Tamandua tetradactyla: one gene and its partners. The protein of the gene in region 1 purifies or fractionates together with the protein of each later gene. This does not show direct contact. Links are inferred from orthologs where the notes say so. Each region holds a gene or a part of one and is shown in the gene's direction. Other genes may lie near its edges.

Region 1 (7,001 bases):
AACAGTCCATGGTTTAACTTAGGGGTCACTGTTTATATAGTGCAGTTTCATGGATTTAAAAAAAAAATTTATCCTATGACCATATATATATATATATATATATATATATATATATATATAACATATCCCTTTTAGCCATATTCAGATACATATTTCAGTGCTGTTAATTATGTTCACAATGTTATGCTACCATCACCACCATCAATTACCAAAATATTTCCATCATTCCAAATAGGTGCTCTGTAAATTTTTTTTCAAGAAGATAAAAACAAAGGTAAAAAGAACACCAAAAATATACCATCCCCCATCCCCCCATTGTTTATTTTTTTGTCTTTTTTTTCTTACTCATCTGTCCTTACACTGGATAATGGATAATGGGAGTGTCAGTCACAGGGTTTTCACAATCACATGGACAGACCTTAAAAGCTCTATAGTTATTCAATCATCTTCAAGAATCAAGGCTTTTAGATTACAGTTCAACAGTTTCAGGTATTTCCCTCTAGCTACTCAAATATACCAAAAAGTGAAAAGGGATATCTATATAGTGCATAAAAATAACCTCCAGAATAACCTCTCAACTCTATATGAAATCTCTCAGCCATGGAACCTTTATTTTGTTTCCTTTCTCTTCCTCTTTTTGGTCAAGAAGACTTTCTCATTCCCATGTTACCAGGGCCAGGCTCATCCCCAGGAGTTATGTCCCATGCTGCCAGGGAGATTTGTACGTTAGGAGTCATGTCCCATGTAGGGAAGAGCGTAGTGGGTTTACCTGTGAGTTAGCTTAGAGAGAGAGACCACATTTGAGCAACAAAAGAGGTGACTTTTGGGCGGACCATGGTGGCTCAACAGGCAAGAATGACCAGGGTTTGATTCCCGGTGCCTGCCCATGTAAAAAAAAAGAAAAAGAAAAAAGAGGTGACTTTTAGGCATAGTCTTAAGTAGGCTTATCCTCTTCTCTTGTAGGAATACATTTCATAAGGGCCAGCCCCAAGAGCTAGGTTAAGTTTTTTTGTTGTTGTTGTTTTTTTAACATGGGCAGGCACCAGGAATTGAACCCAGGTCTCCGGCATAGGTTAAGTTTTAAATGGACAAGAAAGGTACAAAGGGTCTGTGAAGGCAATGAGAAACACTTAAGCAAATAATACATTCTTATAAAGTTGATTAAGGAAAACATCAGTAAAGCCACACAATCTAAATAATCAAATGTAGCCTTTGATTTATATTCTGTTATCTGTGTGAGTCAAGGTCAAATAATTTTTCTCATAAATTATCAACTTAGCTATTCAGTAGGGATGTGGACCTTAATCAATTCAGTATTTACAAACATCTCATTTCTCTTCATAATTATGTTTGCAAGTAGAACCATAAATAAATAGGCAGAATTTTCATAAATTAGTAAACTGAGATCACTAAAATTTTAATTGCTATAAACAAGATCATAAAGGTAGCTAGAAAAATAGAAACTTAACCAAATCTTTTAGATGCTGGGGCTAGACTGCTTGGGTTCAAATTTAGGTTCTTTGCCTCAATTCATCATTTATAGAATGGGGATAATAGTGGGACCTACTCATACCACTATTGGTACTTGTATCATGTTTAGAACCATGTTTAACACTTTGTAAGCTTGTTAAATAAAATAACTAGTATTTGTTTCCTGTCTCTGATGGCAACTGGTTAGGTGTACAATACAACCTCATAAATCTGATGTATAATTCAAATTTACAGTGAATTTACGCATCTATAACCAATTAACTCAGTTGCCTTGAACATGTGTAAATGAGGACAAAATTATTTTACTTTGTTATATGAGTTCAGGCTTCAATATTTCAAAAATACATCTTCTTTGAAGGGAAAATTGGACAGCAAAGTGTGAATGGTGCATCACTTTTTGGTTATGTTATGTCTATAAAATGATAGGGAGGAGTTTGCCTTCAAAATTCTTAATGCTTTTTCCACCAGTAAACAAAGCTACTATTTATTGACTGGTTATTATATCTCAGGCAATAAACATGTGTTGTTTCATTTAATCCTAATAAAAATCTTTTAAGGTAGGTATTTTTATCCCCAATTCTAAAACTACAGTAAAGGTTAGGTACTTTGCAGCAAGAAGCTGAAGTGAGGTTTGAACTTAGGACCATGTGATGCTAACATTCTTTCCATGTCATGCTGCTTCTCTGTGAAAAATTATTTTCTTTCAGAGGTTGGGTGAAAAGGGGGAAAATGTAATCCTTTCAGGGTACTTATCTATTCAGTAGGGATGTGCACCTTAATCAATTTAGTATCTACAAACAATATCTCATTTCTTTTCATAATTATGCTTGAGAGTAGAAGCATAAATAAAAGAAGCAGAATTCTCATTAATTAGTAAACTAAGGTCACTGAAATTTTGATTTCTATAAACAAGATCATAAAGGTTGTTAGAAAATTAGAAGCTTGCCTAAACCAGGTAAGTTTGGGGACTCTGGAACCCGAGTCAGCTTTAGTTATTTTTCTAGCCCGTCCATAAAAAAAGCCAAATAATGTAAGAAATAGCAAAGGCTGGAAGCTGTTTTCAGACTCTCAAAAGGATGACATGATAGTGCACAATAGTATTACTATGCAGAAAATAAGCAATCATAATGCTGAAAGACACAAATCATAATGCCAATATGTACTACTTTCACTTGGGAAGGTTTAACACTTCTTATTGGCATAATTACATCCATCTTTACTGCATTCTCAGCAAATGAGTTAAAAATGGGAAAATGAGAAAGATCATATAGGGATTTTCATCATCTTTTATACTTTTCACAGCATTATGTTATCTTAATCCCAAATCTATGGACATCTTCATCCTTGAAAGATTGAAACAGTTTTGCAACAATTCATTTATTAAACAAATATCTAGAAGGAAGTTTTGTATTAGGCAGCGCTGTACTAGCCACCAGACGTACAGAAATTTGGCTTTTTTTTTAAAAGATGAACCCAGTTCCAGCCCTTGTAGAGTTTACATTGTAAAGCCAGTTGTGCTGTGATTGTGATTGTGATTGTGATGTGATGGTGTGATGTGATGTGATGTGATGTGATGTGATGTGATGTGATATGGTGGAAAGCACGTGCGTTTTAGAACCTGGGTTATAAACTTGTCTTTCCACTTTGCTGGCTGTGACCTTGGCCAAGGCCTTTCATATTGAGAGACTCGATTTCCCCAATTGTAACATAACTGTTGGCATCAAATAATATTTGATTGGTCTTATTTCTAGTTTCATTTCAGGTGTATACACCATGGAAAGATGAGGCTAAGAAAAGATTACCTTCCGATACTGAGGAGACAGGGCTAACTCGCACGTTTTATTATCATATGGTGCTTGGCATTATTGAATACGTATTTTATGCCCTGTTCACTGAGGAACTGGGACATGTTTTCCACTGCAGCTAAGCTGTCTGGGTGCGCCTGGAGAGGCGTCACAAAAGGTCCCCACCTGCAGCAGGAGTAAGCACCTGGAAGGAGACCGAGGAGGGCTTTGAGGCCAAGCGTTGTTGTCCTGTCGTCCTTTGTTTTGGCCAGTATTCACCGAGGTCGAGTTCCGGGACTCGCGATGAAAAGACAAAAATCAGGAGCTGATAAAATTTTCTGCCAGGGATTGATTAGCCGTCCCCACACCCCTTGTCCCACCCCACCCTACCCTCTAGCGTGAGTGAATGCGCTAATAAGGGTTTTCGGGCTTTCGCGAGAAAGAGGGCAGGAGAAGGCAGAAGTTGAGATGGATCCGGGTATGGCACTGCTCAAACGAGAGAGCCTCGGATACCCGGCGGGGGAAAGCTAAAACCAGGGGATCCGGATGGGCATAGGTAGTGGCGGAGGCAGGTTGCTGGGAAAAGGGGGGACGATGGGGGGCAGCAGACCACGGCCGCGTACTCAGTGCACACTCCCGAGGCGTACCCCCCTCCCCTTCCTTCTCTTTTGGTTTCGACCTGGCGGCTGGGAGGGGCCGCAGGACGCCATTCCCATAATGCTCTGGGGCTTACCGCCGCCGCCGCCGCCTCCGCCTCCGCTACCGCTAGTGGAAGAAGATGGCGGAAGGCGGAGCGGCGGATCTGGACACCCAGCGGTCTGACATCGCGACGCTGCTCAAAACCTCGCTCCGGAAAGGGGACACCTGGTGAGGAAAAGGGGTTGAGGTGTCCTCAGTTGCCCAAGGATGGTGGGGAACTGGGTCGGAACCATGGGCTGGTGTCTTTGGCTAGTGACAGGTGCGGGCAGGTTCGGCGGTGGCCGCCCTGGGCAACAGGATTTTGGCCGCTCCCGAAATGTTGGGGCAGGAGATGTGGGCCAGGGCTAGTGGTCTGTCGGGGCGTGCTGAGTGAGAGGTGTGTGGAAGCCGTATCTGCGGCTCGTGTAGTTCTCTTCGACCTCCTTCCCTCCGTAGTGCCGCTCCCACCTCGGGCCTTCGCGAACGATAGGTTAGAGTCGTTTGGCATGAGTCTTAACAGTGTTTTGACAGATCCCGGTCCTGCGATTTATCACGGTCTAACCCGCTTTATTTCTCCAGTCGTTTCCTTTCCTGGCATTGTCGGCATCTGAGTTTGCTCTTATTTTGATTCTTATATTCTTCCGGAAGACAGGATGCAGGATGCAGGATGTTTGCGGTTAGTACTACACAGGTGGCACGTGTCAGGGCACCAATTAAGAGAAGGAAACCCTAGTCTAAAGGAGGAAGAGAAGTAGGGAACCTTAGGCTTATGAGAAGTGACCACGTGGTCTTCTGCTTCAGTGGAGGCTCGTTAGAAGCCGGCTGCGACTCTTTGGAAGTGCAGCTCTCCCCTCCAGTTTCAGTGATAATGTAGGCCTGCAAAAAGTAGATAAGGCTTAAGTAACGTAACAATTTACAAACTTATGAAACACCAAAAGGAAATACACTTAAAATGCTGAAGAAGGTGTGGAGACTAATACCTTTTGGCCATATGAAGTGGCATCCAAAATAACATAAATTTGTGAATATGTGGCATAAAGATAAAATGCTTAGTTTATTGCGATGATGAGAACAAGCATGCCTTTTTTTTATGATTTGTGTATATGTGTTTAAAATAAAAATACAAATACATAATTTTTCTGAAAACAGCTAAGGAACATACTGTATTCATTGTGCTTCTTTATAATAATAAAAACTTATTTTCATTTCCTACTGTCACTATAATAATGGTATATAATTTGCAGTGTTTTTTTCATGTACTTTATTATGACTTTTAGTGGAAGGAGCATATGATTTAGACCTGAGTTATGTTACAGCTCCACCACTTAACTTGTGGAATGACTTTGGGGAAAGTTCATTTAAATCATTGCACCTCAGTATCTTCATTTAGGAAATGGACAATAATAATTTCACTATAGGGGTTTCATCTTGATTTAATTAAATATTCTAATTTCCAAAAGAGACATCAAGTTTCAGTTACCGTCTTATCTCCTCTCTTGAGAATACACCTGTGGTATTAGTACCATTTTCAAGTAAACTGGTGGATGGCAAACTTGGGATTTAAATTTAAATGATACGATGTAAATCCTGGCACTATTTTTCTACTTTGTCAGACTGCATACTATTTTTTTTATATAACAAAAATTCCTAAGGGTGTCAAATATTTCTGTTGCAATACAGCATAAATTATAATGTTTGAATGAATTTATAATCGTTGTTCTTCAAGTTGGAATGTTCCTAAGATGTTTATTACTGTGGGAAAATGGACTTTGGCCTGTGTGCTTTTAAAGGTGAAATCAATCCTTGATTCCTTTGTATATTAAAGAACATTTAACAATTCTTTATTCATCTAGTCAGTTACCCCCGCATAAAAAAGATAAATGTGGATTTCCTTATAATAGAAATATGTAAGTTAAAATTTAGATAGTATTGTTTCTTTTTAGTCTTGTCATATTTTTGATACACTGAGTAATAATTGGTGGTGTTGACCTTAGAGGATGATACAAGTGCTGAGTGTATTGTGGTCATTAAACTTTTAAGTGCGGCATTTTTTCAAATGAATGTATTTTTGCTTTTTATTTACAAAGTTATTGTAAATCATTTTAAAGGGTAAATACAGGTGGTCTATAAACTTGAGTTATTTCAATGGTTTCATTTTAAGAAACTGAAGCCCAGATATTTTAAGTAACAGCAGAATGTGTAGGTTTTTATCAAACATTACTTTTCCCTCTGAATTAAAGAAAAAAAAAATGACAGGAACTATGTAGTGCTGGGCAGTTGCAGAAACCAGTTTGGTTTATATGTGAGCCATTTTACTTGCCATTTAGCAACTGAAACCTGGCAAGAACTTTAGAGTAAAACTCTGATTTGGTCTTTTAAGGAAAAGTATAGATTTGATCATATCCTTAAGTTCAGGACTGGTAGAGATATTTAATTTAGTTATTACTTGGGCTTACATATTGGAACTCAGTAAAAAGTTAGATTTCTCTTTTTAACGTCTCTTTTTAAAAGTTTCAGATTAGTTTTTTCTGGGTATTTGGTCAAAGCTTGTTTGTTTTAAAGCTGGAATGGGCCATATGCAAATGAACATTGGCTTTGTGTGTGTGTGTGTGTGTGTGTGTGTGTGTAGGATAACCATCTTTGAAAGACTGGGCTGGGCGGGCCGCGGTGGCTCAGCGGGCAAAGTGCTTGCCTGCTATGCCGGAGGACTTCGGTTCGATTCCCGGCCCCAGCCCATGTAACAAAAACGGAGAAACAGAATACAATAAAACAAGAAAATGTTTAAAAATGTTTCCCTTTCTTCCTTCCTTCCTTCCTTCTATCCTTCCTTCCTTCTCTCTGTCTTTCCTTTAAAAAAAAAAAAAAAAAAAAAAAAAAAAAAAAAAAAAAAGAAAGACTGGGCTATTGGGGAAAAAATGATGGGTTTACCATAAGTTTATTTCTGAAACTTAAATACAGATGATTGAAGTTATAGTCAAATGCATTAAAAAGAATACATTTCACCGATGAGTGTATTGTAGTACTCTGGTAACTCTTAATACTTAGTCG
Region 2 (7,208 bases), on another chromosome or scaffold:
CATCAGACACAAGGTTTTCACAATAATACAGTCACATTATAAAAGCTGTATCATTATACAATCATCTTCAAGAATCAAGGCTATTGGAACACAGTTCAATAGAACTACCTGGATCTTTCCTTAAGATATAGTAATGCTCACTGTAACAATTTCCACTACGATGAACAAATGGGTCAGTAAGGATGAGGCAAAACTGTGTAGAACGCTGGAAGATGTTGCAGACCGAGGATATACAGCATTTTTCTGCTATACAAATGATGTATTTCACCTTCTTCAATTAGTGAGCATTTTAATAAGGATGAGAATAAGATGCTGTCCTTGTCCTCCAGGAATTTATAATCTAAATGGGGAGACAAAATATACACCCATGAAAAATTAAATAGCTGCTCAAGACTAAACTAACAGATCAAGGCATTAATCAAAGAGAAGTCATGTACACCATTCTGACCATAAGAAAGAGTTCAGAGGTGATATAAGTTTGGGCTGGGGAAGCCAGGGAAGGGCTTTAGAGATTTACCATAGAGGAAATAGATATGAATTATATCTTTTGAAAATGAACCACACTGAGATACAGTTTAAAAAACAAATCACACTACAGAAGAACTAATGATGAAATTTTAGTTTTCCACTCATGACTCTCAGGCTCTTTCTGAAAACCAATCACCATTACCATTTTTCTCGCGTCTTTCCAGTGTATTCAACTACCTGTAAATAGAGTCTGAATTGATTTTGATTTTGCAGTGTAATGCACAATGAAGGGTTAAGCTTGGTATCTATAAATATAAAAGTAAGACTCGTTCAATATAATTTATACAATAGAGACCTACTAAGAGATTTGAAGTACCCTAGTGAATTTCCAAGCTGATTGTTGCCATGGCAATCCCTGCCCCATCTACTTCAGTTCCTGTCTTGACCCACTTTGGTTTAGATGTTTCTAGCAGAGAGGACAGTTGACATGCTACCATATCTAAACCCTTGGGGACTGCATTGGTAGCCAGATTGTCTCTCATCCTCTTTCCTCAATCCTACAAATCCTAGAAGGCCTTCTAGAAAGAGCTGGAACCCAAAATCTGACACTTTGGAGAAATGGTCTAACTGAGACCTCAAGCATATTACCTATTGAACTAACGTACTCCTCCCCCTTTCTCTCCTCCCCATACTTGGAACAGATTCTTCTGGGGTCCTAGCCAGGTTTACTTTTGTTCCTACCCCTACTCACCCAGGTGGACATGGAAATCCATACCCTGCTAACATGGGAGAGACCGTTCATGTGACTCATCAGTTTAAAAAAAAAAAACTTTTATAAATTTTCACACATACAGTCCATACATAGTATACAATCAGTGGCTCACAATATCATCATGTAGTTGTATATTCATCACCATAATCATTTTTAGAGCATTTGCATCACTCCAGAAAAAGAAATAAAAAAAGAAAAAACTTATACATCCCATGCCCCTTACCTTCCCTCTCATTGACCACTAGCATTTCAATCTATCGATTTATTTCATCCCTTATCCCACCTATATTTACTTATTTTTTATAATTTCTTTTTACTCATCTGTCCATTTCCTGGATAAAAGGAGCATCATACACAAGGCTTTCACAATCAGAGAGTCACACTATAAAAGCTCTAACATTATACAGTCATTTCAAGAATCAAGACTACTGGAACACAGCTCAACAGTTCAGAGTACTTCCCTCCAGCCACTCCAATACACCATAAACTAAAAAGGGATTTCTATATAACGTATAAGAATACTCCCTAGGACAACTTCTCAACTTTGCTTGAAATCTCTCAGCCACTGAAACTTTACTTTGCCTCATTTCTTTCTTTCCCCTATGGTCAACAAGACTTTCTCAATCTCATGATACTGGGTTCCGGTTCATCCCAGGAGTCCTGTCCCACGTTGCCAGGGAGATTTACACCCCTAGGTGTCATGTCCCATGTAGGGGGGGAAGGCAATGAGTTCACCTGGAGTTGGCTTAGAGAGAGGGCAAGGCAGCTTTTTAAGGCTTTTTTATATTAAAACTGTTGACTTGCATTAATAGGAAGAAGGACCAAAAAACAAGCTACCTTATTTCAAAATTGAACGGCCAGTATTAGTTGTCATTTAACCGCCTCCCTTTGCCCTAGACCAACTTCCCCAGTGGCCGCTGGAAACAAGGCATAGGTGGGACTGCTCCACCAGTTGGCTTCCTGGGTCTCTTTCACTAGCTATTTTTAATAAGGGCTGAGTCAAGCTGCCTCTAAACTAACAGCGTAAGATACCACCCTGTTAGTAAATTTTTGGAGGAAGGATTTCTACTGAGTAGGCTCATCTTTGCATAAATACATGCAGGCAACAGAAGGGAAGGAAAATTAATATTTATTGACTTTAACTTCAAAGCACTATGCTACTCACTTTCATATTTATTAATTTATTCATCACACAATTATATTTAAGTAGATATCATTGCAAGTGAGTTCTTCTTCTCAAAGATTACAGACTTGAACAGAGCTGTACTCAAAATGACAATTTAACTCCAGGTTTCAGGCTCTTCGTCACTACGTTTCCATGAGAAAAGTACTTCCACGCATGAGGAGGTGGTGGAAATGAAAGAGATTTTGAAAGGAACTCTGGAAAACCTGTAAGACTCAGAGAAGTAACGGCTAAACATTTCTCCAGGTCCAGCTGAAGGCCCCTACTTCCGAGTAGCCTTCATTTCTGGGATTAAAGAGTACACCTTCAAAACGCTTAGTGTTTGAAATGCTCCTTTGGTACTTCTTGATTACTGATTTGTATTGCTACGGATGCTTTTCCGCTTGAGTTCCCAGTTAAATCCATGAATGATAACATAGAGTGCTGGACAGGAAGCCAAGAAAACTATGTTCTAGTCTTGTCTCTGCCACTTTTGTGAGATCTGAGGTTCTTTTCAACTTTAGTTCTGCGGTGCTCCCCAATTAAGAGAGAGGCGCTTAAGAAATACTTGACGTATTGTGTTAGGTTCAATATTTTCGTGAGCCGAGGTTTGGGTGTCCCTAAGCAATAGACAAATCCTGTCAGTCCTGGGCAGTGTGCAGCCTAAGAACTTTGCAGCCTTCGGTAGCGCAGAAGCGCTAAAGTCTGGCCTAGGAATATCTCAGTTGAAAGCACTACGGAAGGAGCGCCTGAACAGTGGAGAAATGAACAGCAAGGCAAGGAAACCCAACAATTCTGAGGCATCGTGCCGGGGACTTATCTTTTAGATTTCACAAAGACTGCACAGAGAGTGCATTAGTAGCATCATTTTTACCGAGGATGAAACTGAGATTCAGGTTAAAGGAAAACACCTGGCCCCCTCACGCTAAACGCAAACGGCATCCCAGGCTCTCGGTTTATTTACACTCGGACTCCGCCCCCGCCGCACAGCACGAGGGGCCCCGCCCACTCCCTCGCCTGTGGGTGTGTCCAGGCGCTGGCCGAATCCTAGGGTTTTCTTCCTAGCCCGCTTCTGTCCGTGTTCGTCCAAGCCTCAGGGCGGGCCCCAGCCTCCCCAAGAAATGAGCACGTGTCCACTCCCGGCTTAACTAAGGAAAGTGCACCAGGCGGCGGCCCCCAAGCAGGGCCCACCCCATGAAGCTGGGGAAGGGCGGAAAGGGTCCCGGGGCCGAGGCGAAGAGAGAAGGGTGGTCGCCGGGATTATTTTCCCAGCGCGGCAGGTTACGTGCCTTCTACTTCCTCCCTCCCCTCCCTGGAGTCTTTTCTGGGAGCGTGCCGGAGACGAAATCAGCCGAAACCGCTTGCGTCCAACCCCTCCTCGTCCCCAGCCCGCCCGGCCGCGCCTCGCCTCACGCTCTACGAGGGAGGCGGGACCAATCAGCGAGCGACGTCTCCCTTCCGATTCAAGCCACCCGACGCGCGGCTCACACCCCGGCTACCCCGCGCGCTCATTGGCTGCGTGGGCCGCCGGTCCAGTCGCGAGGGCGGGGAGGGCCGAAGGGAAGGGAGGTGGGGAGGTAGTGGCCCGCAACTCTCCGTGCCCTGCTCGCCCCTAGCTCTTCCCTCGGCGCCTGGCCTCCCTCCTTCTTTCCGCCGCTCCCTCCGTCTTCTCTGCGCGCGGAGCGCTCCACTCGGCCGGCGTTCCTCCGCCCTAACAGGCGGGTGGGGGCGCCAATCAGCGGGCGGCAGGGTGCCAGCCCCGGGGCTGTGCCGGCGAATCGGCGGGGCTCGCGGCCCGGGGTGGGAGGCGGGTCTACCCGCGCGGCCGCGGCGGCGGAGGAGCAGCTCGCCAGCCAGCAGCAGCGAGCGCCGAGCGAGCCGCCGGGAGGTGGGTACGCAGCGCGGCTGCGGCCGGCGACGCGAGGGCGGAGGGCGGAAGCGGAGGTGGGGCGGCGGGCGCGGCGGGGGAGGGCTCGGCCGGCCCGATGGCCCGTGAGAGGGATACGGGAGCGCGCGTGAGGGGAGGAGGGGCGGCGGCGGGACGCGCGCGTCCCCACCTCCTCCCTCCTTGGCGGGCGGCGGCCGTGGCCCTGCGACCCCTCCCCGCGCACGCCGGGCTGCCGGCGGGGCACTGGCCGGGGGAGTGGGGGGGGCGGGGCGGGAAGACGGGCGGCGGGGAGCGTGTTTTCAGTTCCGCCTCACGTCGACCATTCCCCTCTTCCCCTCCCAGCCCCCTCCATCCCATTCGGAAGAGGAAGGAACAAAAGGTCCCGGACCCCCCCGAGTCTCACTGGGCGGGACCTGGAGCCTCCGTCCAGGTAAAGCCTCGGTTCCTGGTGGGCCCTCGGGGCTAGGGGTGTGTTTGTGTTTGGCTTGGGTCGGTGAAATTCGCGTGTCACATGGCCACGGGGGTTGGGGGTTGGGGTGTGGCGAGGCTGGGGCAGTGGGTGCGCCGGTCTCTCCGGAGTGCGGATACCAGGGGGGCCAGGGACAAGCAGAGAGGGCAGGGACCGAATCTTACAGCTCGGCGCACTGGAGCTTCCCGGCCCAGCCTGGTCCGGGGCGGGGGCCGATCGTGTCCTTTCCCCTCTACTCGTAACACACTTGATGGTTTGCGGTTCTGATTTTTAAAGCCGAAGGGACATAGCTCTCTTCTTTCAGGAGTTGTGAAGCCGTGTTAGGACCGTGTGTTACTTTGCGTCCACTTTTTTCCTGGTCCTGTAACCTTTGTTAACCATAATACTCTCGGGTTCTGAATGGCTCTTGGGTACTCTTCTCACAAGAACACGCACACGGCTAATCTGTCGAGATCGTTTTTTACTCACTTGTGGAAGTTGCTCTGTGAGTAGACGCTATTAGTTTTTAGCACATGCCTTTAAAAAATAGGCTTATTGATTTCACGTATTTGAAACTTGGTTTTCAAAATTGCAACCTTAATCTCTTCTCTTCAGGGGAGTGCTGCCCTTGGGTCGCGTACTTTTGTCTTTACTTTTATGCGGTTATGGTTTCCTTTTGATCCCAAACAAAAGAAAAACAATACCTAGGTTGGTTTTGTTATTCGTTCCTCTCTTGACTCTTTAAAATCCAAATACTGCAGTTTTGTTGTCTTTATTTAAAAAACGTCTCCGGGTAAAATGAATCGTCCATCAAAATCATGTTTTGTTTGCTACAGTTTGAAGTATACTAGTTTGGTGTTTTAACTTTTAGAACTACATATGTAAAATAATTGTTAATAAATAAGTAAGTAAATAGTCTTGCAAACTTATTTGAAGTAATTTCATCTTTTCAAAAATGGTCCCAGAAAATGGAATTTCTAGAATTCTAAAATGATACTTTAATATTGTTTCCTTTTCATTTTCTTCTCCCTTCTGACATTTGAATTGAACCTGTATCACTGATAGTACCGATGTTTTCTTTGAACCTAAGAAGACAATAAATCTGCTATTATTAAGCCGAAAGTACATTTGCTATTATTGGAGTTTTGATCCCCTTAAAAAAATTCCCACTTACATAGAAGATTAATAGTTAAATGAAGTTTGAACAGTTTTCATGTGTGAATAAGTGAAGCCAATATAACCGAGAGATGGGAGGTATAAGCGAAAATGGATTTTGTAAATGTGTGTAGTTTGAGAGTTTTTCATTTGCCTTAGGAAATTATATTGGTTGTTTAAAGGATTTCCTCCACCAAAAGGTAATTTAGCACAGTTTTTACATTGAATTCAGAAAGTAAATTTTTAGAGTTTCTTGGTTTTCACCATGAAATTTGCTTTGTAGTTTGTAGAAAATAAAAATAGTGTATGTCTTTGAGCATTTTTAAGAAGAGTGTCCACCTGTATTCTATTTATTTATTTACTTTTTCTACATGGGCGGGCACTGGGAATCGAACCTGGGTCTCTGGCATGGCAGGCGAAAACTCTGCCAGTGAGCCACTGTTGTCCGCCCTCTTTTTATTTTTTTTAACCTGAATGAGAATGGAAGTTCATTGTCTTTTATTTTATCTGAATTTAAAAAAATTAATTTACTTTAAAATATTTATGTATAATAAAATTCACTCTTCTTGGTGTACAGTTCTGTGAACTTAGACAAATGTATCTTGTAGTAAACCACCCCCACACTCGAGATAAAGAGTAGTTCCATCACTCCTAAAAAATTCCCTAATACTACACCTTTATAAATCAGCCTCAACCCCTTTGAACCACTACGCTGTTTTTTAGTCCCATAATATTTGTCTTTTCCAGATGTCGTGTCAGTGGAATCATGTGTTATGTAGCTGTTTTAGTCCAGTTTCATTGGCTTACACATTTGAGAGTCATGTTATCAGTTTTTTGTTCCTTTTTTATTGCTGAATAGTAGTCTACAGTACATCCATTCATCATTTGAAGTACATAACATTCTTAATGTTAAAATCTATTGGATGTAATTGAGTTTAGAGAAATTCATTGGCCATTTTTAATTAATGTAATGTGATTTGAAACAACCATTTTAAAACTTGTTTTAGTAAGAAATTCTCAGGAAGTGCTATTTTTTTTTTTTTTTGGCATAGTTAGGCTCCAGGAATTGAACCTGGGTCTCTGGCATGGCGGGCAAGAATTCTGCTACTGAGCCAGTGTTGCACCGCCCAAGAGCTTGGTTTTTATACTTTTTACCAACACCTTAGTCTTGCAAAGAACTATGCAGGGTAGTCAGGTTTGGTATGTATTCCTCTTAAGTAGGAAAATTGGGGATGGCTTTATATGTTTCAAGCATCCACTTTAACAAAACTGCTTAATGGGAACAAAGGTGGTTTGGCAAAAGGTGCTTTTTAAA
Region 3 (7,151 bases), on another chromosome or scaffold:
GTCACAGTGAGTTCAAGGGAAGGACTCGGATGCCAGGGGTGGGTGGGAGGCCTGCTTTGGCTTGAGAACTCTTTCCTCCTTGACCTCCCACTCATCTCTATGTTTCTGCAGCCACACAGTCTGCTCAGTGGTATGCCTGGGGCCCACCCAACATGCAGTGCCGCCTCTGTGCTTCCTGTTGGATCTACTGGAAGAAGTATGGGGGACTGAAGACCCCAACCCAGCTTGAGGGGGCTGCTCGGGGCACCACAGTAAGAATTGATGGCAGACAGGCAGGGGAGAGGAGTAAGCATGATGATATGAGACTTAGAAGGTCAGAATACCCATTTCTTTATCCAGTGATGGCTTGCCAGGGAAAAGGGGGCAGAGCTGATAGTGGTCAGGGAGCCAGTAGTTCGGGATGGCAGTAAAAAGGTGAGGCAAGAATAAATTCACCCTCTGCAGAGAATGGAAGAAAGAAGGGAGTCTCGGTGCTGATTTTCATTCTCCCCTTTTCCTATGCCCTTCCCCCAGGAGCCACACTCGAGGGGTCATTTGTCCAGACCTGAAGCTCAAAGTCTCTCCCCCTATACGACCAGCGCTAATCGGGCCAAGCTGCTGGCCAAGAACAGGCAGACATTCCTGCTCCAAACCACAAAGCTGACCCGTCTTGCCAGGCGCATGTGCAGGGACCTGTTACAGCCAAGGAGGGCAGCCCGGAGACCCTATGCCCCTATCAATGCCAATGCCATCAAGGCAGAGTGTAAGCGCAGGATGATGGGGCTAGTGACGGGGTCGGGGTTTTTCTGGCTCGAGACCAGTGTTTCTCTGCATGTTTAACGACTGTAGTCTTAGAGGTTTATTAAGAGATTGGACATGGCTCCTGGTCTCAGAAGTAGCTGAATAGTGAAGCCTCAATCTTTGTGTTCTAGGTTCCATTCGACTTCCTAAGGCTGCCAAGACTCCATTGAAAATTCATCCTCTGGTTCGGCTGCCCCTGGCAACTATCGTCAAAGATCTGGGTATAGGATGGGCTGCCAGTTAGGGTGGGCTCAAGCTCTGGCTCCTTTTACTATAAGAGTAAAGTAGTACTCCTCTGCTTTTTTCCCCCATTGAATCCTAAAAGATTTAGTTTAACAAACTGTACTTTTATAGCTTAATAATGGTTTCCCGTAAGCTATACAGTGTTACCACACTGACTTGATAAGGTTGCAGTCCTGATCTCTGAAGTACTGGTAATACCTCTCCAGACCCTCCCTATCACTCCTTTTGGCAATGCCTGGGAAAATTGCTGCCACAGGGAAAGAGGTGGAGGTGAGAAAAGGAAACTGCATAGGGGAAAGAAGGTGGCAAAAGTTTTCTAAGTTTTCCTTTATTTTTTCCTGGCAGTGGCCCAGGCTCCTTTGAAACCCAAAACCCCTCGAGGCACCAAGACACCAATCAACAGGAACCAGCTGACCCAGAACCGGGGCCTGGCAGGCATTATGGTGAAACGAGCCTATGAGACCGTGAGTTGGCAGACTGGGGCTGGCCAAGACTAACGTGGGTGGGTTTTTATTTCTGGTAGGAGCCTCAGAGGGCCCCCACCCTCATTGTGCTGCCACACCCCTTTCCAGATGGCAGGGGTCCCCTTCTCTGCCAATGGAAGGCCTCTGGCCTCAGGGATTCGCTCAAGCTCACAGCCAGTAGCCAAGCGCCAGAAACTTAACCCAGCTGATGCCCCCAATCCTGTGGTGTTTGTGGCCACAAAAGATACCAGGTAGGGAACCCACCATGAGAGGGGCTTAGAGGTTGATGAGCCAAGTGGGTGGGTATGGGAAATAAGAACCCAGCAAGACCAGCGTCAGAAAGACTGTGGGTGTGGGGTGGGGAGTGTGTATGTGTGTGTGTTAGAAAAGAATGAACAGGAAGGCAGAACTGGAGGGTGGGGTTTCTTCTTGGGGAGTCTTAGCCTTTCTAAGCTCTCTGTATTCCTGTCTTCATCTTTCTGGCCAGGGCTCTGCGGAAGGCCCTGACCCACTTGGAAATGCGGAGAGCTGCCCGCCGACCCAATTTGCCCCTGAAGGTGAAGCCTCCGCTGATTGCAGTGCGGCCCCAAGTGCCTCTACCTGCACCTGCACATCCTGCCAGCACCAATGAGCCCATTGTTCTGGAGGATTGAGCATCTGTGGGGAAGGGAAGTGGGCTGAAAGGTAGAGGGTGGGTCCTCAGGGCACTCAAACCTCCCTTCTCTCTGGTATCTAAGAGAGTGTGGAGGGAAGGAAGAAGGGAGGAAGCAAGTGTGGGCGTGTCCCTGGAAGAGAAAGACGCCCTCTGGTGTCACCACCACTAAGCTTGTCTCCTTCCCATGCTTCTCCAAGCCTGGTGATGGAGGGCAGTCTGCAGGAAACTGGCCCTTGTGGGGAACCTGGCCTCTTTTGGGGGGATAGGACCCACAGTTTGTCTTGGACAGTTTTGGGGGGAGGGTTTTTTAATTTTTTAAAAATTTTGCCTCCCTTTGTGAAAGGGGATGGAGGGGAGGGGAAGAGTAAACAGGTATCAGGTGGCAGTACCTGGTTGGGGGAGGGGGGCATGCGCTGCCATGTCTATCTTATTTTTATTTTTTTTCTAATTGGGGGTTTCTCTTCGTGTCCGGTGTCCGGACTTTCCTAATTGGAGTTTGAGGCCCCTAAACTGGCATCAACCCCAGCCCATGCTCACTCTTTCCTTTCCTCTTCTCCCCTCCCCCCTTCTGCCTTTTGTACACCAACTCAGAAATAAAGATCTTTTGTCTGTTTTTTTTAATCTTGGAATTCTGTAATTGGTTCTTATAGTAACAAATAAAAAGCTGTTTTCTTCAGTCCCTCCAGGCTCAGCTCTTCTCTGCCATAGATGTAGGGAGGGAGGTCCAGGAGGGGGGGTGTGGGAAAATAAAGGACAAAGAACAATAAAGGAGATACAGATTGGGCTTGCCCTGGGAACCACTTCTTTATGAGATTATGCACACTGGACTCAGGCTGTCTACTCCAGCCAGCCTTCTTGTAGGACACAAACTGCTCCCCTGTTCCCAGTGGTGCTGGAACTAATGGACCATCTTGGCCCAGGTTCAAAGCAGTTGGGATGAACTGGCTCTCTGGGCGGCTGGTGGCTTCCACAGGAGGGGGTTGTGAGCGTGGTCTTTTCTCTGTTTTCCCAATTCTTACTCTTCTCTCTGCTCAGGGAATTCTGGGAGTTGCTAGAGGCCAGGGGATGTAGTCCACTCTGGAGTGTACCGCAGGATCCTACTACCCAGTAACGGCTGTTCTCACACACTGCTGCTTCAAGATCTTGAGGGCTGGTCTCAGCAACTGCCTAGCTATGAGGGCCCACTGTCCTCTGCGGTTTTAGGTTTGGGTGAAGCCCAATAGGAAGAATACTTTAGGAGAGAGGACAAGGTCAGTCTGTGTGTGCTTTGGGCACTCCTTTAGAGATGGGGAGTGGCAGTTGTGACTTGGTCAAAGTTACAGACCGCAGTATGCCTGCCTCAGGTCCGCTGCTCTTTCCACCATCCAAAGGTGGGGGCTGGTAACCACAGCACAAGCTGTTTATCCCATCGAATGGTCCCCTTCATCCACTACACGAGGAGTTGGCTCACACCTCCGAGGTGTTAGGGGAGGAAGTGAACACTATGCCAGTCTGGGGGTCAGCAGCACATCCCCCCTCTACTGTCCTCGTTCGGCTGCTACCACAGCTGGTTCCTGCGCACTGCCCTGTTGTGGGCCGGAGGTTCTGCAGCCTCCTGAATATACACTGCGGAGGTCACTGCTACGGAAGGCAAGTCGGTGCAGGGACGAGCCTGGCCCACCCGGGCCGCAGCGAGTGATCGCCGGAGTCCGGAAGGAAAGCGCACAGAGCTCCCACCCGAGACTAGGAGGCGGCTGCCGCACACCCATTTTCGGGGGGAGGTCCGTGGACGGAGGGAGAGGGTAAACGCCCCGAGATTGGGAGTCCAGGGAGAGCCGTAGGCTTCGTGGGCCCAAAGCGTGGAGGCTGCCCATCCTCCGCCTTTATTCGCGGGGTGGATGTGGGGCTGGATGTGGGCACCCGCGCGAGGGTCGCGACTGCCCCTTGAAGTAGCGGCTCACGACCGGCGGCTCACGACCGCAGCCCCGCCATCCGGCAGCAGCAGAGCCGGCAGCCGCAGGGGACCCAGTCCCCACTCCCGCCCGCGCCTGCCTTGGCAGCTGAGTTAACAATAGCCACGATCCTCCGGACCAATCAGCGCCTGATCATGCAGAACACACCAATCGGCTTACCGAAAGCAAGATAAGCATCGCAGAAGGGAGGCTTTTCCTAAAGCCGGTGGCGACTTCGTACAATCAAGAAACGGAACCTTGACCTCGGTTTCCGGGGGGAACGTGCCCGAGCGAGTGCCGATTACGTCACTTCCTATCAGACCGGCGGAAGTTGTTTTCCAGCGCGTTGTGATTTGGAGGAGTGAGTTCCGGTGGAGGCAGGAGCGGTAGATTTTTGTCGGTACGTGAGAGGCGCAATGGCGGCGGTCGGTTCGGACGTCCAGTCGCTGCCGCGTGGGGCTTTCCGCTGCTGCCTCTGCCAAGTTACCACAGCTAACCGTAAGGGGTGGATAGTGAGGGGGAGGGGATGTGGCTGGGGTCTTTAGTCTTTTGGCCCCAGCGAAAGTTAGGGTTAAAGGTCATTGTCCCTGTCAGGTCGGTTGTTGGAGTCACTCACCTCCGTTGTCAAAAGCCACCTCCCGACCGAAATCCCCACGAGGAAAGTTCCATTGTTTTCTCTCTTTCTCTCTCTCTTTTTTTTTTCGCATGGGCAGGCACCGGGAATCGAACCGGGTCTCCGGTATGGCAGGCGAGATTTCTGCCACTGAGCCACCGTCGCACCACCCTGTTTTCTATTTAATAGTGATTTATTTAATAGTCATCTGTGCCTGGTACTTTGTTGGGTTCTGGGGTGAAGGAGGGGATTTAGAGATGAAGGAATTGAGCATCCAGAGAAGGAAACCGTTTCAATACTCTGTAGATAATGTCTGGAAAGCTGTGGATAACAGAGACAGCAGCAATTGGGAGTCAGGGAACCCTTCTAGAGGAGCTGCCGAAAGCAGGGATGTGTGAAATAGCATGGTTATGTTTGTGAGATTCTGCATGACTGGAGCGTAGAGCACCAGCAAGCAAGAAGATGAGTTTGGAAATCTAGACAGGGTTCTTGCATGACTTTCAAAGGGGTTGAGTGAAACCTCAGATTCTATTGATGAAGTCTAGAATCATAATCTTGCCTGTAGAGAATCTTCTTCCATTCTTCCCTCTCTGTGTGGATGACACTATTACTATTTGTCCAGTAGGGCAAGCCAGAAACCCAGAAGTCATTAAATCTTCCCTGGCTCCATACCTACCTTGGTGGCACTAAGGAGCAGACTTAGATATAATAAAAATAATAATAGAAGCTATCTTTTTCTACATTTACTGTGTACTTGACTCTGCCAGTTGTATATATGAATAGTACCAATGTGGGTAGGTATATTATTATCCCCATTTTATATCTGGGAAAACTGAGGCACAAGAGGCTCAGTAACTTGCCTGAAGTCTCTATGGCTTTATAGAGCTGGGATTTGAACTTGGGCAGTTTGGTTCCAGATCTTGCCCTTAAAAGCAGTACATGCTAAGTACCCAGAAATGATTCATGGGGAATAGTCCATAGTGCAGATTAATTTAATTCTTTATATGACCTGGATAAATTGCCTGTTAATTGCTATACATTTTTTTAGGTGCCACTGTACCTAGCACTTATGGATGTTTTAAGAAATATTTATAGTGTAGCCACTTCCCCAAAGAACCACTTAGAGAGTGCAGCATATAGAAAAATGAACAAGAGAGGAAGATGAAAGAAGAAGGGGACCAGGACTTTTTTTATTCAGAAGTTACACTTTCTGTGGCTTTGAAGGGTCAGTAAAGGTTTAGGTGTGCAGAGAACAAAAGCAGAAACAGGTACACTGAAGAGTGATTTGATGTTTTGTCTCATACTTGCCTTTGCAGGGCCCAGCCTAGATGCTCACTTGGGAGGCCGGAAGCACCGGCACTTGGTAGAACTACGAGCTGCCCGAAAAGCCCAGGGACTTCGGAGTGTGTTTGTCAGTGGCTTTTCGCGGGATGTGGATTCTACTCAGCTTTCTGAATACTTCCAGGCATTTGGACCTGTGGCCAGTGTCGTCATGGACAAAGACAAGGTAGAATGCATGACTCTGGGAATGAAGAATGAGTCTGATGTGCTACTTCCCAAAAGAAACCCGAGAGAGCAGTTGCTTCAGCTGGTTTCTCATATGGCTTGTCCTTGATGGGATACCACAGTATTTGCCCTAGTCCAGCTTTGCAAACTCCTCCCCTGCTTGGAGTTTTATCAGTTCAGAATTAGTCATTAGGAGACTTGTCATTATTTATTCAATCAACTTTTATTCACCAAATATTTATTTGTGTCAACTTTGTATTAGGCACTGTGCATAGACTTGCATTCTGGGTAGTGAGCTGGGATAGGCATGGTTTCTGCTTGCCCAGAGCTTACAGTCTAGAGGAGAAAGGAGACAATTAAAACAGGTGCTTTAAGACTATACCATCTGGGGACCTATCCTAACCCCACAAGAGACTGGTTGGTAAATCAGTTGTCAGTTTATTACTTTACACTGAGAGGTACTGAGGTTATCTGGTCCGAACATCCTGCTCTGGTCAGTGCTAAGCAAACAAACTTGTTCTTTGTGGTCTTGCATTCATGCAGACCTTTTGTCATTGTCCCTTTCATCCCTTGAAAAAGATTTACTGTTGGAATGTTGCTCTCTTTGATCAAATTGTAGTTCTGAGTCTGCATTTTGGTTAAGTAGATGTGGCTTAGGTGAGACCCAGGTCTCCTTTGCAGCCCAGGTCTTGTCTTAGGATGGGATCTGCTTTTGTTAGAGATTGCATTCAGCAACCTAACTTCAGTGGCTTAAACAAGTGAATTTAATTTTTTTCATACAACAAGAAGTCAGGCCTGGGTAGTCCTGGGTTTTAATGCCTGCCTTTTCATATGCCTTCTAGCCATTTGTATTTCTTCTTCTGATAACTGTCTATTTTTGCCTCTTGCTCGTTTTTAAATTAGATTGTTTGTTTTTTTGTTGTTGAGTTGTAGAATCTCTTTATATATTACGGATATTA
Region 4 (6,855 bases), on another chromosome or scaffold:
GGGGGCAATTAGTTAAAGGACTTTCTTCTGCTTTTTCTTCTCTCGTCTACGCTTCAGCTTCTCTGGGACTCCTCTGGGCCCTAGTTCGGCTGGTTTAAGTAAGTGTGGGGTTGACCAAGGAGGACAAGGCCTCTTGTTCACTCCTGAAAGAGTGAGTGGCCACATATTATGTTCCTAAGCCTCACAAAGCATGCCCCTGGTCACATGAATGGATCAAAGCAAATCCACTTCCATTCCAGGAAAAGCAGCTCAAAGCACATGTTCTCTTGATGGTGCCGCTGTCATTGTGTGAGGTCAACAAACATCATTTATTGAACACTCACTTTGGATACCGGCAAGGGATATGAAGATGAATAAACTGCTCAAGGAGGTTATGACACCTAACAAGGGAAGCAGGCACTTGCCCAGCAAAATAAACCAGAAGCTGTATTTGCTTCTAGTAGTCCATTTTCTATCACTGCCATCTCCTAATGGAGGGAGGGGCTGTGGTGATGGATGCAGTAGAAAGCACTGGTTTATATCTCTGGTAGTTTTGGCATTTGGAAATTAACATCTTTTAAAATAAGAACATCACCTCTTCTTACTCCACACCCATCCCCACCCCCACCCCCGGCCATTTAAATTCAAGGCTTTACAGAAAGAAATGGAATTAAGACAGCTTACTCTGTTCCCAGGTAAAGCATTACACTGAGTCAGAAAGTTGTTTTGGTTGGGTATCAATTGAATGGTCGCTACAGGCAAAGAAATAATCCAGTCTCATCAGATCATCCCGGGCCTGTCACTGCTGTAACTAGGGTGGACTAAACATTTACTGTTTTCCAAGTACTATCCTAAACACTTTTGCATCTGTTATCACAATTAATCCTCACACTATCCCTATTAAATTTTTGTTATTCTATTTTATAGGCAAGGTAACTGAGATTTAAGGAGGTTAAGTAACTCGGCTGATACAAAGCTGTTAAAGAGATAAAGCCCTGATTTGAACCTACGTTTGTCTGACCCTAAACCCTGTCTTTAACAATGGCACTATAATGCTACAATGTGCAATACTGAAATTTAACATGGAATCCCTTACATTTGTAAGGTTCTATACCCAATCCAGGATGTCACCAGTCTGAAACACACCAAACGCCCCCGCTGGACGTGAATGCTACATTTGTCATTTAAAAGCACTACAGTACTCAGATGCACTCTTAAAGGAAAGGGATGTTGACCAAAGAACCCAGGTTATGTTTATGGTCACCAGCAACGTTTCTTTTCCATGTTTGTGGTACAAAAAACAACCAGAAGAACAAACTTCTTCCTTTCGTGTCCCAAAACCACTGAAAGCATAAATTCTCGGTCTCAAAGACCAAGACTCAAAGCCTGAGAAAAATCTGTCTCAAATGTTAGCACTTCTGGAAAAGCAATAAATTCACACCTCCAGGTGAATTGGGGGCAATAAAAATAGATTAACTGAGTAATAGTAACTGGTAGAATGCAAACATAAAATATTATTTTTTGTAGTTTGCCATGATCGTGCATCTTTGGCAAGCATTTTCACCATTGAGTTTACACATACATTCTCTCAACCATCACAGAGAGGCTGAGGAGAGAGGGGGTACGTATTCCAATTTACGGATTAAAAAGAAGGAACAATAAGTCACCTGAAAGGCAAAAGAAAAGAAAAATTGTTTAAGGAATGCTAGAATGCTATTTTTTTTTTTTTTTTTACAAACTCTGAGCTTCGAAGGGGTAATTGGAAGATCTCCGTTTCCTCTCAGTGCACTTGGGATCAGCTTGCACATAGAATTTCAAATCTGGTGGGTGGTTCTAAAAGGTCATCCTCTGAACAGTTTTATTTTGCAGATAAGCAAACTTGGGCCCAGAGTGGCTGGGTGACTTGCCTGACAAAGACGGTATCAGACAGGTCTCCTGACTTTGTTTCCACCGCCCGCCAAAATCCACTCCATGGAACGATGATTAAAACTGTGCAGTAACAATTGTGTTCTCTTTCCAAAATTTCCTGAGACAACCGGGGAGGGGGGCTGTCCTAGGGTTATGAACCCCGGCTCACCTTCAGGAGCCCCCTCTCTTTGCTGCCCTCTTCCAGGCCCCTGCTGCACCCGCCGTCGCCCAGGAAAGCCCAGGGCTTCCCGGCACCCGCACCCCGCGCTCCCTCTCTAGCGTAACGCGAGCGCGCCCCGAAGTAGGGGCGGGAAGGCTCTCTAACAATAAAGGCCAAAATTATTGTTCAGTGGCTCAGAATTTCCAACCGCAACTCTGGGGCCCGCGGTATGACATCGTAAAGGAGGACTCTCCTTGCAATGCAATCGGAAGGCAGCAGGGGCTGGCGGTTTTCTGGGAACCTTCTGCCTCGGGGGGAGGGGGCTGCAAGGGCCGCCCCGGGTCATGCCGCGGTTGTTTTGCTCGAGCCGACTACAGGCGGGGTCCTTTCTCGGCAGGAACTCGCGCCCTCTGCACGCCAGCAGCCAGCCCTTCTTTTCCTTCCCTCCGCCCCCTCCCCCACGCCCCTTTCTCTTTCTTTCTTTCCCGGGCTCGCTCCCCCCACCCCCGCGGCGCCTGCACGCCTCGTCGCCCAATGGCCACCGGGCTCGGGCGCACATCAGCTGATCTGTCCGCGCTCCCGGCCGCTCGAAGCCAATCAGGGCGCCGGGGGCGGCTCCCGGCCGCAGATAAAGGGTGCCGGGCCCGAGGGGACCCGGAAGAGCCGAGAATGAGAGAAGGGTTCAGCGTGTGACCTGCACACCCGGCCTCCTCTCACTTCGCTCTCGCGGCCTTCCCTCCCTCTGCCCTGCCTGCTGCACAGGTAAGGTTCCCGGACAGCACAGAAGGGACGCGCGCGGGCCCCGCCGCCTGCCCCTCGGTGGCACTAGGGGCCCTTCGTGCGGGTTTGGCTCCTTCTCACCTCCTGTCCTCACTTGTGCGCTGTGACCTCCTGGGCTCAGGAGGTCAAAGACGCCCGGGCCTCCCGCGTGGCTCCGCCGTCGGCGATTCCCGGAGGGTCTGGGTTGGCGTTTTGGGGGCGCGCCTTTCTCGAGGTGTTTTGAGAAGGGGAGGAGGTTGTTCTGATCTTCCTTCCGCTGCTCGCGGCCCAGAGGGACGCCCAGGAGACCTTTCAGCGGGCGGGACCGTTGAGCCGCCGGCCCTGGGCGCGGTGGTGGGGTTTGGGCTGTCGGTGGAGCCGCCGTGTTCCCGCTGCAGGAACGCACGCGGGGGCGCTGGGCAGGCGCGGGGTCCACCCTCTCTTCTCGGCGGTGGCAGCTGTTGGGGGGGTGGGGTCCTCGTGGTATTATCTTTTTGACGCCCGAGCGACGAAGCTCGTTTAACCAGGAGTGTAGTGTTTGCGCGACCGGCTCCTACCACCGAGTCCCGGGGGGAGTTCTGGACCTTCCACTTGTGACCGAACAATGAGGAGCCCGGGGCCGCGGCTAGAGGCGAGTCCCCGCGGAGGTGGCAGCCGCACGCCGCCCCTCCCGCCGACGTGCCCCGCACCCCCTCCCCTCCGTCCCCAGCCTCTGCCCCCGGAGGGGAATGGCCCCCTCGGTGAGTCCCTGAGACCAGGACCGGGGCCGGAGGGGCGGGGGCCCGACGTTTGGAACACTTCGGGGGGAAAGGACTGCACTCAAAGTGGATTCCAGCTTCGCCGGGGGCGGGAAGCGGGGACGCCCCCCCAGCCGCAAAGCCGAGAAGAAGTATGATGCGGAAGACACAGAATCGCGGTCCTCGGGGTCCCCCAGCAACTGCTTCGGTTTCGTCGCCTATTCGGTGAACCCGGGAGAGAAATCGCGAGTCAAGATTAAGACCCTGACCCACCAGCCCGCGTATCCCAGCACCACCCGGTCAGAGCATTCTCCGTGCCCTGCCCCGTCCCCTTCCCCGTGTCCAACCCCATCCCCCTGTCCATCCCCGTCCCCAACGCCCAGAAAGCTCCGGTGCTTGGACCAGCGAGAGTCCGAGAACGAAGAGAGGCGTGAACCCAAGTCAAAAAAGAGGACTCATAACGAGGGCCACCCCATCGATATGGTTAACCTCCTATGGCCGGGGTGAGTGAGGGGCAGGGAGGAGGACTCCCCAGCTGGTGGCAGCTGCAGAAAGAGCTCAAAGATTTAAAATTTAAGCTCTGCGGCAGCACCAGTTGCTATTGTACAGCAGGCTGCTGGCAACCTACCCGGCTCATGGGAGAGAGAACAAGACACTTCACCCGGACTGGAGAGAAGCATGGCTTGATGTTGGAGGTGTATCAAGTTAGGAGGAAAGCTAAAAGACTGAGTTCTCACTTGTAGTTGGAGCTGAAGGGATCAGAGATTCTGGTCTTTCGGGGGCGGGGGGGGGGGGGGGTTGGTTGGGGGCGTGGAGGGTGGCATTTGACCTACCAAATCTCCTGCAATAGGCAGAAGTATTGGTTTTCCTCCTATAAGACTTGCCGGAGGAGGTTCTCCTCTAACGCACAGGGAAGGGTGAGGCTGTTGGAAGGAGAAGCAGTTATGTTTTCAGCTGGGCAAACATGGATGGTTGCCCGCAGAAACTTTGCCACTGTACTTTAGAAAGTTGCTCAAGTCATTGGAGGAGAACAATGTGTTCCTTTGCAGCCACCCTGGGGTTTGGAGCAGGGGTGGGGTGGAGTGTGGAGAACATTTCCTCTAACCATCCAGGCCGGTTCTGTGGCTTTGGGTTCTCTTCTTTCCGAGGTCTGGTGGTGGCGGCTTGCAGTTTTTAGCATGCATCAGACCTTTCCAAATCCCAGATCATGTTGGTTTAAGAAGCGAGAATTCCCTTATTATTTAAAGTTGGCCAGTGAAATCTGAGAATATTGTGATTCTCACTTTCTGAATTAAGTTAGACTTTGCATTAGACCAGTGGAAATTATGGCAGTGTTCCCCTTAGAATATGCCTTGGATCAGCTCTTCTATCTTGGTGATATTGGTAACTGCAGTCTTGCTTTTAAGAAGCCTCCAGCCTTTTAAATCTTTCTAGTGAAGGCCCTTGTTTAACCCTCAAATCTAAATGCATGTTGTTGAGGGGGATGGGGAATCGCCAAAAAGGGGTTGTTATAAAAACTGCAACTTAGGTGAAGGAACACTCACTGGACATGATAGCAGCCAAGCTTTTCTGTGGCTAGATATTATTTGTGTTGATTGTATCTGTTTTCTAAATTTTCTCGAGTAGAACTTCTGTAGTATCTTAGCATAAAATGTTTTAAAACAATTCCCCTACCTGTGCTGAGGGGAGTAGAGCTTAATCTCTCAAGCCCCAAGGATGCTGAGAGGCCTCAAGGCTTATTGCCAAGGGCTTTTCTCTTGCAAAGTTGATCGGATTTTTACAGCCTAATACTATCAGGAGATTTTTGACTAATATAAAAACGTTGATCCTCTTGAAACCAGAGTGAATAAATACACCTTTGGGTGTAGGATTTCCAGTGGAAGGGGCTGCCCCCACCCCACTCTTCTCAAAGGGAGCATCTGCCTTGGATTTAAATTTCCCTCTTGAGCCATCCCTGCAGGGGGTTCAGTTTGGAGTCCAAAGATTGGTTTCCAGATGTTCTTCTTTTTCTCTCCAGAACACCTTCCACCATGGCCACCTCAGCAAGTTCCCACTTGAACAAAGGCATCAAGCAGTTCTACCTGGGGCTGCCTCAGGGCGAGAAGGTCCAAGCCATGTATATCTGGATCGATGGCACTGGGGAAGGACTGCGCTGTAAGACGCGCACCCTGGACAGTGAGCCTAAGTGCATAGAAGGTGAGAACTGGGCTGGGCTGGGTGGGCGCAGTACGGGGGGTAGGCTTTAGACCAAACTACTCAATGGGACCTCTTTATTTTTGTGTTTGTAAAGATTTTCTAAGATGGGCCTTTTCAGGCCTCATTCAATCAACATTTATTAACCTCCTACACTGCCTCAAAACATAGCAATACTCGAACCCTTTATTTAAGTGGAATCTCGCATGTAGCCCAATATATTGAAGAAAAATAAAGGCTCAGGTTTGAGCCTGAGCTTTGCCAACTTGGCTGTCCCTTAGGTGGCACCCCAAGGAGCCCAGTTGGACGACCATTGCTTTAACCTGAATACGCCATCTAGTTTACAAACTGTTGAATGCTTCGTTTCGTATTCATGTTGTACAAAGCATATACCCTAAAGTGGTTTGTGAATAGGACTAATCATTCATTTGTTTTCAGTTAGTACCGCTTTTGGAAATTCTTAAATCATCTGATTTGCTTATTCCACCTCACTAGGTGCTGCTTTATTAGAGTTGTAACCTTCAGTTTTTCTCCTAAAGGAAGCCATAGCCCTGCCCCTTCTAGACAAAATCCAGAGAGAACAAAAGAAAATATCACCTCCCGCCTATATTAGGATAGCGTATTCTTCTGATAATGTTCACATGGGAGTGAATGAGTGAATGAACTACCATAACATAAAGTATACATTATGTGCCTGCTACATGGCAGCTGCTGGACTAGGCACTGGGAAGGCAGAGTTCTGGGTCTGTCTTCAGAAAGCTCATTGTTGGCTGAAGGGACCCAAAAAACGGCCTTTAAAACAGTGGGAAAAGTGCATCTGAACAGATGGTCTTTCCTGTGGTAGGGTGGATACGGAAGCAATCCTTGAGTAAGTTAATAAGGACGAGAGTTGAGCTGAGACAGTCCATAAAGACCAGTGGGGGAACAATGGCTGGTGAACTAGTGGGACGATCAGAAAATTTTGTCTTCCCCTGTCTCAGTATTTTAAATGACTGACTTCACTAGTGACATCAGATTTCAGTGTGTCTCCTTGGTGTGCTGTAGGCTTATTTAGGGAAGAGACATTCTTTTGACTGTAATTTCCTTGAAGGAAGTGATGCAGTCATCTTACTGTCCTTG

Evidence for each region.
Region 2: the proteins of USP15 (region 1) and SMAD2 purify together in Homo sapiens (affinity purification with western blotting; 4 studies listed by BioGRID). This does not show direct contact. The link is inferred for Tamandua tetradactyla from reciprocal best matches to the Homo sapiens genes USP15 and SMAD2.
Region 3: the proteins of USP15 (region 1) and TUT1 purify together in Homo sapiens (affinity purification with mass spectrometry; 4 studies listed by BioGRID and IntAct, with this or other methods). This does not show direct contact. The link is inferred for Tamandua tetradactyla from reciprocal best matches to the Homo sapiens genes USP15 and TUT1.
Region 4: the proteins of USP15 (region 1) and GLUL purify together in Homo sapiens (affinity purification with mass spectrometry; 3 studies listed by BioGRID, with this or other methods). This does not show direct contact. The link is inferred for Tamandua tetradactyla from reciprocal best matches to the Homo sapiens genes USP15 and GLUL.

The regions. Positions count from the first base shown.
Region 1 is NC_135333.1:129,774,083-129,781,083, forward strand, and holds the start of USP15 (ubiquitin carboxyl-terminal hydrolase 15), read left to right. Parts: upstream 1-3,983; 5' UTR 3,984-4,053; coding exon 4,054-4,142; intron 4,143-7,001. UniProt on the Homo sapiens protein: Hydrolase that removes conjugated ubiquitin from target proteins and regulates various pathways such as the TGF-beta receptor signaling, NF-kappa-B and RNF41/NRDP1-PRKN pathways.
Region 2 is NC_135344.1:35,188,643-35,195,850, forward strand, and holds the start of SMAD2 (mothers against decapentaplegic homolog 2), read left to right. Parts: upstream 1-4,190; 5' UTR 4,191-4,290; intron 4,291-4,354; exon of another isoform or gene 4,355-4,394; intron 4,395-4,535; exon of another isoform or gene 4,536-4,632; 5' UTR 4,633-4,720; intron 4,721-7,208. UniProt on the Homo sapiens protein: Receptor-regulated SMAD (R-SMAD) that is an intracellular signal transducer and transcriptional modulator activated by TGF-beta (transforming growth factor) and activin type 1 receptor kinases.
Region 3 is NC_135335.1:11,968,552-11,975,702, forward strand, and holds the start of TUT1 (speckle targeted PIP5K1A-regulated poly(A) polymerase), read left to right. Parts: upstream 1-4,132; 5' UTR 4,133-4,489; coding exon 4,490-4,571; exon of another isoform or gene 4,572-4,585; intron 4,586-6,002; coding exon 6,003-6,193; intron 6,194-7,151. Other genes in the region: metastasis-associated protein MTA2, read left to right, coding at 1-6, 112-251, 514-742, 912-1,001, 1,369-1,487, 1,596-1,738, 1,975-2,140. UniProt on the Homo sapiens protein: Poly(A) polymerase that creates the 3'-poly(A) tail of specific pre-mRNAs. Localizes to nuclear speckles together with PIP5K1A and mediates polyadenylation of a select set of mRNAs, such as HMOX1.
Region 4 is NC_135330.1:37,223,922-37,230,776, reverse strand, and holds the start of GLUL (glutamine synthetase), read left to right. Parts: upstream 1-3,850; 5' UTR 3,851-4,023; coding exon 4,024-4,046; intron 4,047-5,560; coding exon 5,561-5,739; intron 5,740-6,855. UniProt on the Homo sapiens protein: Glutamine synthetase that catalyzes the ATP-dependent conversion of glutamate and ammonia to glutamine.